Oryctolagus cuniculus: one gene and its partner. The main gene of each other region encodes a partner of the protein of the gene in region 2 in a complex. Links are inferred from orthologs where the notes say so. Each region holds a gene or a part of one and is shown on either strand. Other genes may lie near its edges.

Region 1 (4,714 bases), on a different chromosome or scaffold from region 2:
TAGATTAAAAAATTAAAAAGAAAAATTATGACACAAATTTATAGGAATTACTTGGTCCCTTTAAAGGAACTTGTCACCATCAGTAACACCCCCTCATAAACATTCAAATGCTCAACGTGCAGCTTTACCTGTGTGTTCTTGGTCTCTGATTTAAAGAAGCTGTCCGGCCTGGACTATGCTGACTTCCAAGCCTAGCAGGACTTGTCATGTAGTCATTAGGAACTGTTGGGGGTTTAACAGGTTCCAGGGTTTTATACGGAGTATTCCGTCTAAAGAAGCATAATGAAGAAAGGAAAAATAAATAAAATAGTAAAACAGTATTTTCCCCTCAAATCTGTGATTGTCCCTTTGTGATCAAACATAATATAACATTTATTTAACTGGGGTATACTAATTTTGTTACTTTAACACAAAAACCATAGGAAAGGGAAATTTAAAATTTCAGTCTTTTGAAATGTACATTTATTCCCAGCTCAGTAACCCAAAGGCCCTGTCCTATACATAGGAAGATAAATATCTCCTTTGCAATTTATTCCTACCTCAGTAGGGAACTACATGGAGAAGTACATTCTGATGCTAGATGTAATGTGACTAATTGTCAGTAGATGATTTTTATTTTTGTTTGGTAACCTCATATTTTTTTAGGGGCAGAGGGCTTAAAGAATGAAAATGGAAACCAAATCTTCAAAAAAAAAGTTGTGTTTTATCAACCTCTCTACCAGAAACAAATTTAACATACCATTTCCTCTGTTAAAATGGACAATCTTTCAGAAATATCTTGGCAAATATTCAATGTATTTAGTTATACTGAGACATGGGAAGGAAGAAGTCGTCGGCTGTTACCTTCCCACAGAGCTACTCTATTATAAAGGGACCTATGCCCACCAGCAACAGCACAGTTAGACGTTTTCCAGGCAGACAGTCCCTAAACCTCAGGTGCCAGGCAATACAGGAGACAAGAAAGCTCCAGAGCACTATGGCAAACTATACCACCCAGACCAGCCACAGTTCTGACATGTAGATCCTGCACATACATCTGAAGTCTAGTTACCACATGGAACTGCCCTGAAATAAACTGTCAGGCCTATATTTTTTAAAAAATTAGTAAACAAAAAATAATGATCATTTATATACACATGGAAATATATGTTTAGTATAGCCATCTACAGAGAATATTATAAAGCAAGCAAATTCACTTTGGATTTGGTTCAGGGAAATAAGAAATAAAATGAATCTGTAACAGGTGTATCATACAGAGTATTCGATGGCAAGGATCCATACATTTACTTAAATCACAGAGACATCTTTCCTTTAACAGGAGTTCTTTTGTACAATGTAGCTGAACTCTTACCCCAACGTGCCCCGGCCTGACATGGGAGGACTTGGTGGTTTCTGAGTAGGAGGATTTGTTCTCGACAATGTGCCAGTTCTTGCAGGCTGGTTATTTCCATGCTAAAATATGGAAAGAAGAGCTTTTATTTTTATATCAAATTGTTCTCTTGGTGTTTTAACACCATGTTTTTTTATTTTTTTTTTAATATCAGAATGTAAAGTAAGGATTCCCAGACAGTTTGAATGAAGACTTTGGTACCACATTTTTAAAAGTCAAGGAACCACTTGCACTGTTTTTCTTTTTCTGTGTGTGTGTGCCTTTTATACCAATGTATGGCAAACTACAGATAAGATTACTGATTTTATATATTAATTTATTGTGAAACATGGTCACTGAGCTCATACTTATCTAGATTCAAATATTTCCTACAATATTTGAAATGGGTGCATGAACAGATCTCATCATCAATTTGCCAAAATGCTCACCCAAAAAATTAACTTTATTCTAACAATTCAGTAACAAAGTCACATACGATGTCTGGGAAACCTCCTAAATGTAAGTCAATGAAAGCAAGGCAACTATCAACAAATGAGCAAAGCAATAATGTTAGCAAAATTAATGTTCCTATATAAATGCAAATGTCAATATATCTTTGATATATTAACACAGCCAAGCTAAATGTTGCTGATTTAAACTGAGCTTAAATATATTTAATCTACATAAATCCTACAGGGAAAAGCAGACAGACATAAGAAGAGTTTTCAAATTTTAGTGGCTCTGCAGCCTCTATCAATATAGAGGGAATACTGTGGATCAAACGATAAGTAATGTCTCTTACCTTGGCTTTTAGCCACTTTACGTTGGCAAAAAAAGAGGGGGAAAAAGTAACAATTAATTCTACAAAGTTTATCTAATAGGAAATGTTTACATTTACAGTTATTCAATTCACTTAATTAAGCTTTTTCCTAGCCATATTTCCAATATTTTTTATAGAAAAGTATATCTATTAGCACTGGGACATATTCGTTTGTTTCACGTATTTTTCAAAATAAACATTCATAAGGTAACAACCACTTTATTATTCCAGTCTCATTCAGGCCCAATGATTTCTTAGGTGAGTATCTCATCCTAACTCATTTGAATCACAGAGAAAAATAAATAAATCATGGAAACACAAATACCCTAACATATTAGATGTAAAGCTATTTTAATACATCATTGCACAAGAGCTGTAATTTTATTGTATAATGAATGCCCAAGTATGAGTATTTATTATTTGAGCAGTTGTACAATATTCTACAAGATGATAAAACTGCAAATCTTAAAAGTCAAAGCCACAGGACTTGCTTTGACAGAACAAATACTAAAATTCAAAATCACAGTTGCTTCCAAAGTCAGAAAAGGATATAGCACCTTGGTGCTTAAAAATGAAATTACCGGCCGGCGCCACGGCTCACTTGGCTAATCCTCCGCCTGCAGCGCCAACACCCTGAGTTCTAGTCCCAGTTGGGGCACTGGATTCTGTCCCGGTCACTCCTCTTCCAGTCCAGCTCTCTGCTGTGGCCCGGGAAGGCAGTAGAGGATAGCCCAAGTGCTTGGGCCCTGCACCCACATGGGAGACCAGGAGAAACACCTGGCTCCTGGCTTCGGATCAGCGCAGTGCACCAGCCGAAGTGGCCATTTGGGGTAAACCAACGGAAGGAAGACCTTTCTCTCTGTCTCTCTCTCTCACTGTCTAACTCTGCCTGTCAAAAAAAAAAAAAAAAAAAAAAAAAAAAAAAAAAAATTCATGGACAGCAACAGCTTAGCTGGGTTCTAACAGGATAAAGAGAGTCTAGAAAGCCTTCTCATTTCCAGTGTATGAACTGAAATCCTGAGCAGGTAACACACTAGCAGGAAGTCACTTCAATTTTAAGATTTCTGATAAAGCAGTTTAGGCAAAATTCAAAAGGGAGAAAAAGCTGCTTTGATTTCCTAAGTTACTTCCATGAAAGTTGACTAGCCTACCTATATCAAATAATGTTTACAGTCTTAAGGCATCACCATTTGTACTATGTCACTGAGAAAAACAAGAAAAAAATACTTTTAATACACGTTTTGGGTTTCAAGTTCTTCTTACAATATCTGCCATTTCAGTAAGTATCTATTATTTTTCACATGACCTTAAAGGAAGAAATTCTTTCTTTTAGATACATTCTCATTTACAGAAACAGTGCCAGAAATGTGAGATTTTAAAATGATATATTGTTCACTTTGATCTGAAACTACCTAACCACTACATTTCACATCCCCATTAAGAAAGTAAATTACGACATAAAGACAACCTTCAACCTCTTATGCACCTGGACCTCCTATATTAAGTACATTCATGTATGCAGATGTGTTTGGGAAGTTTGGCAGGAAATAATCTCTTACAGCTCAACATAGTGTAAAACCTTTCCCCAAATATACCAAAAACAAGGCTGTCTTTAATTTTCTGAAGATACCACTTCAGGAGCTGGCACTGCAGTGCAGCAGGTTAAGCTACCACTTGTGATGCTGGCCATATCATAGCAATAGTTCAAGTCCTGGGTGCTCTGCTTCAGTTCTAGCTCCCTGTTCATGCACCTGGAAAAGCAGTGGAAGATGGCTCAAGTGCTTAGGCCCTTTCACCCAGGTAGGAAACCTGGGTGGAGCTGCTAGCTCATGGATTCAGCCTGTTCTACCTCCAGCTGTTGTAGCCATGTGGGGAATTACCAGCAATTCACTCCTTCAAACAAATGAACACATTTTTTTAAAGATTTATTTATTTATTTGAAAGGCAGAGATACATAGATGCAAAGGCTTGGAGAGAGAGAGAGAAAGGGCTTCCATCCACTGGATCACTCCCCAAATGGCAGTCAACAACTGCAGCTGTGCCAATCCAAGGCCAGGAGCCAGGAGCTTCTTTCTGAGTCTCCCACGTGGGTGCAGGGGCCCAAGCATTTGGGCCATTTTCTACTGCTTTCCCAGGCCATAGTAGAGAGCTGGATTGGAAGTAGAGCAGCCAGGATTTAAACTGGCACCTGTTTGGGATGCCAGTGCTGTAGGCAGCAGCTTTACCAGCTACACCACAGCGTCAGCCCCACAAATCTTTTTTTTTTTTTTTAATCATTGCCTTTCCTTAATATTTACATAAATAGGTGAATAATTTTACCATTTGCCTGGAATCTTACGTTGAGAACACAGAATTTTCCTGGATTCCTCCCTATCTTCTATCAAGTACATCACAGTCTTGCACACCACAGGTACTAATATCAGGAAGGCCAATTCCTTGTTTGAAATAATTCCATTAGCTCACGCCACTGTTTAATGAAAGTGAAGCTTAAACTTAACCATCAGAAAGCACCAACAAATCTTTAA
Region 2 (4,714 bases):
GACCCCTGCACCCATGGAGGAGACCCCGATGAAGGTACTACATCCTGGCTTTTGCCTGGCCCAGCCCCTGCCATTGCAGCCATTTGGGGGAGTAAACCAGTGGATGGGAAGATCTCTCCCTCCCTCCTCTCCCCCTCTCTCTCTCAACTCTGCCTTTCAAATAAATAAAATAAACCTTAAAAAAAAAAAAAAAAAAAAGGTAAGCCTCGAAGGTCCTTAGGCTACTGACACTGAAAAGACATGTGCCCTAGGACCCCTGTCACTTCTCCTTAGTCTGTATCCAATGGCAGCCACACCAAATCAGCTGCATTGTCTGCACCAGGAGGAACCAAGAAACAGAGTGGACAAGTAAGCTCGTTTGATGGTGAAGTAGAAGACCACGGCACACTGAACACGTAACAGCCACAGCCTCAGACTCCCACAACTGTTTCTGTCTCACCAACAAAAGTTGGGGGAAATGCAGGGAGAGGCAATAAGATGACAAACAGCCTGACTCCATTTGTACAAGTTCAATCCAGGTAAAAACAATGCAGGAAGAAGCCTTTGCAGACTGGAGGAGAAACCCCAAGATGCCCTCCCTGCCTTCTCAATATTCTGTGATCTGGATCATGGTCGCACAGGGATTCATTCTGCAAAAGTTTAAACTGTACAATATGTCAATAAAAACATTTATATTAAAAAAAAAACTTACCTTGAAGTACTTGTCAATTTTGGACAAGTTAATTCTTTTCTTGGCATCTAGTTTATAGATGTTACTGACACTTCCATCCATCAAGTACAGACCAAATCCCATGACCTGAAAAGCCACAAATGGTGCAAAAACACTCAGACCGAAAATATAATTACCCATACAATGTACATCACAATTCACTCTTGCTTTTCCTAAAAGCTCCTAGGAAATGAATAGCTCTCCCCTCACACGAAGCTGTCACTTTATGTGGACCCTTTCTGGTTATTTCAGCTTCCTCCCAAGGCACACATCCCAGAGCCAACCCTCTTCAAGCTCAGGGCAGTGCTAGACTTGGACAGTTTAAGCTGACATTTATGAGACAGCTCGCAACTACTGTCATCATTTGTGGTCTTTCAATAGTAATTTCACTCCCACTATGAGTGTGTTAATAAGCAGTGGCAGGTGCACAGGTTAGAACACTGGACAAGCACTGTGACTCAACATCACTCAGTGCTAACTCGGCTCACACTGAAGGTGGAACAGGGGTGTGGGGGGGAGGGGGAGGGGGGAGGGGGGGAGGGGGGAGGGAGGGAGGGAGGGAGGGAGAGAGAGAGAGAGACTGCACTGAATATTCTATATCCTCAGACAGTTCCCCAAAGCAGTCTCACAAAGATGTATTTTTAGGCTGCTTCTCTGGTGCTTCGAATGCATTGCCCCCCATGATTTCATGTTACAAACGTTTGTTGAGGTTCCAAGCCAGCTGCTAAAAGCTGAAAAAGCAAATCCTCTACTAGACTAACCTGTACAGCAGGATATTCTAGAACTATCGGGTCCAAAAGGTGGCTACATGTAAGTAAGTTTCAATGCATAGGTATGGAAAATGTTTAATGTGGCACCAGCCAATGCCCATCTCAGTTGCTCCTTAGGGGCTCATGACTAGGGCTCCTGCATCAGCTGGCACAGATACAACACCTCTGCCATCCCTGCGAACTCCAATGGGTGGCGCTGTTGCAGCCCTGACCACTTCCCGGGGCTTCCTGCACCAGGAAAAGGTGGGAGGCTGGATGGGTGGGACTCGCAGCAGCAGGTTTCCCAGGGTCATCCTGTGCAGAGGGACAGCTTGGAGCAGAGGGAACAGCAGAGCAGACTTCTCATTTTTCCAATGAGAAATGCAACTGAAAACCCCAATTTGAAACGTAACAAATGTAAATAGGGTGAACCAGGCAAAATCCACTGTAATTAAGGTACAACAATATACAGCTAGCTATCTAGGGCCACAGCGTCTACATCCAAGAATTCAACCAACCATGGCTTAAAAATATTAAAAAACAAATACATCTCTACTAAACAGCTACATGCCTTCTTTTCTTGTCATTTTTCCCTGAAGAACACAGTATAGTAACTATTCACACTGTAAAAAGTATATGGGAGGCTGGTGCTGTGGCACAGCGGTTGAAGCCACCACCTACAGAGCCAGCATTCCATGTGGACACTGATTCAAGTCCCAGCTGCTACACTTCTGCTCCAGCCTCCTGCTAATGTTGCCTGGGAAGGCAGCAGAGGATGACCCTGCATCCATGGGGGAGACCCTGATGAAGCTCCTGGCTTCAGCCTGGCTCAGCTCTGGCTTTTGTGGCCATTTGGGGACTGAACCAGCAGATTATCTTCCTCTCTCTTTGTAACTCTGCTGTTCACATAAATAAATAAATCTTTAAAATAAAATAAAGTATATGGGAGGATGTATATAGGTTCTGTGAAAATACTATGTCATTTTATATAAGGGACTTGTGGCCCATGAATTTTGTTATCAATGGTGGGAAGATGGGGGAACTTCGGGGTGGAGGCTCCTAGAATCAATCCCTCGAGGACACCAAGGCACAAGTAGAAGAACCTGTGACCCAGGACCGCCTGGCCCGTGACAACCCTTTCCTAAGGTCAGCGTGTAGTTCACTGGGACACGCTCATGGGACATGCCAAGAGCCTGCAGGGGGACCAGGATGCTGCCCGTGTCCACAACAGCATGAGAAAGGACTCTGGAGGAAGCGTAGTCTTTGTGGAAGCTGGTGCCTCGGCGCTGCTGGGGGCTGCCAGCCCCACACACGTACTTTGAGAAGCATGTGTTTCTCGCTGGGCGTCAAGTACATCCTGTTCTCGTAGTAATCCACGCACAGATTCACGATGTCTGCCAAGAGCTCTTCGTAGCCAGAAATGACTTCGAGCTGCTGCTGCAGAGACTGAAACACAGAGCGGGAGAGCCGTGCCATCAGCTGCTCCCAGCCCTGCCGGGGACAGCTCCCGCGCAGTGCGGTGGGAAGGCAGGCCTTACTTGCGTGATCTTGTTGTGGTTTGCCAGGAACATGGACAGATTCTGAGACTCCTGGATGGACTGTGGATCTGCCATTTTACGTAAAAACTGAGCAGCCCTTTGAAAATAAGAAAGAATTAATCCCAACGTGCACCGATGTACTGATTTTCCAAAATGCCTGGGAAAATGAGGATTCCTGTCCTCCCCGCCCCTTGCAGTTATCTGCAGAAATGTGGATCTTGCAAGCTGGTTATGAGTTCACCTCCTTAAGCAACTCCTGACCTGGACTCTAGGTCACTCTTTTGCCAACACAGATGCGATATATACAACTCTGGAGGACTTACCACCCTGCTGTCCACAGCTGAGGGACCTCCCCACCAGGCCCCTGCACTTTCTCCCTGTGGCTGCCCGAAGCCCAAAGGGCTGCTCTGCTCAGTGATGTCCCAAAGCCATGCAACGAGGCCACAGGGCACCCTGGGGTTCTTTGCTGGGAAAACTCTGGGCCACCATGCCTCCCGACAAGAACACCTGTCTCTGGCGTGTCACCCTAGGGACCAGTGAGGCCCCAAGTCACCAGTCGTGGCTCTGCTACCAATCTGCAGTAATCTACCCTGACACCCACCCAAGGACCCTACAGTGAGGTCCAAGAATACCGCAAGGCATACGCTGAGTCTGTGAGGTCCCCGCAGGATAGAGTGAGGGTTCTGCACACCCAGGGCTGTCTCCCAAGGAAGGGTACAGGAAACTGCCCCATAAAGATATGACCGCACAGCCTCGAGGCCTGGTGTATTAACTGAAGCAGAGTGCCCACGGCCAGGTCTGATAACCTACCCAACGCTCACTTCACCCCCTTCCTCCTTAGCAACAAGTCCCGAATTCCTGTAGAGCAGCAACACACCTCATCTCCCGTGCAGCATAAGCTGCGACCACATGACCAGCGGCAGGCCCAGGAGATACAATGCAAAACCCTGAAAAGCACTTTAAAATGTACTTATAAGGAAGAGCAGGGGCTGCCTTCACTCCTTCTTCCCTGGTGACTGGAGTGCAGAAGTAACAGCTGGAGCTCAAACACTCGTCTTGGACCACGAAGCGGGGCAGGATGACAGTAAAGCTGCAGGAGTCCTGGGTCCCGCCCCCCATGGCCCCATCGTGAGCTGCAGATGATCTAACTGGGGACTTTTCAGGGAAGGGAAACACAAACCGCACCTTCTCCAAACCACTGTCCTTCCCGTGAGCTCTTAAAAATTACATGTAGTTATACCTAATAGTAACTGATATAGTGACACTCGTTGCCTCTTTAAACACGTTCAGTTTACTGACTGAAGTCGCTGCTGGGGCAGGCAGTATGTCGAAGGAAGGGATCCACAATGCCATTTTCTCTTCCCTCACCATCATCAAATGGCTTACCTGGCATCCATGCCCAGAAGCCATGGTACTGGTAGCTCCCAGCTGGGTGCCAAAGGGAGAGATGCACTTGCGGGTGTGGGGGCAAGGGAGGAGTGGGGATTGCTGTCTGGGCAAGTGACCATCAGAGGCCACAGGAAGAAGTAGCTGGAAGGTGGCCGGTGCCACAGCTCAATAGGCTAATCCTCCACCTGCAGCACTGGCACCCTGGGTTCTAGTCCCGGTTGGGGCGCCGGATTCTGTCCCGGTTGCCCCTCTTTCAGGCCAGCTCTCTGCTGTGGCCCGGGAAGGCAGTGGAGGATGGCCCAAGTGCTTGAGCCCTGCACCCGCATGGG

The links. Proteins that work in one complex are often made in the same cells at the same time.
Region 1: CYFIP1 (region 2) and ABI1 share a complex: the UniProt entries of both Homo sapiens proteins name them as parts of the WAVE2 complex. The link is inferred for Oryctolagus cuniculus from reciprocal best matches to the Homo sapiens genes CYFIP1 and ABI1.

What each region holds. Positions count from the first base shown.
Region 1 is NC_091444.1:103,362,101-103,366,814, reverse strand, and holds part of ABI1 (abl interactor 1), read right to left. Parts: intron 2,187-4,714; coding exon 2,172-2,186; intron 1,453-2,171; coding exon 1,352-1,452; intron 270-1,351; coding exon 129-269; intron 1-128. UniProt on the Homo sapiens protein: May act in negative regulation of cell growth and transformation by interacting with nonreceptor tyrosine kinases ABL1 and/or ABL2. May play a role in regulation of EGF-induced Erk pathway activation. Involved in cytoskeletal reorganization and EGFR signaling.
Region 2 is NC_091443.1:17,574,634-17,579,347, forward strand, and holds part of CYFIP1 (cytoplasmic FMR1-interacting protein 1), read right to left. Parts: intron 3,094-4,714; coding exon 2,997-3,093; intron 2,905-2,996; coding exon 2,776-2,904; intron 797-2,775; coding exon 692-796; intron 1-691. UniProt on the Homo sapiens protein: Component of the CYFIP1-EIF4E-FMR1 complex which binds to the mRNA cap and mediates translational repression. In the CYFIP1-EIF4E-FMR1 complex this subunit is an adapter between EIF4E and FMR1.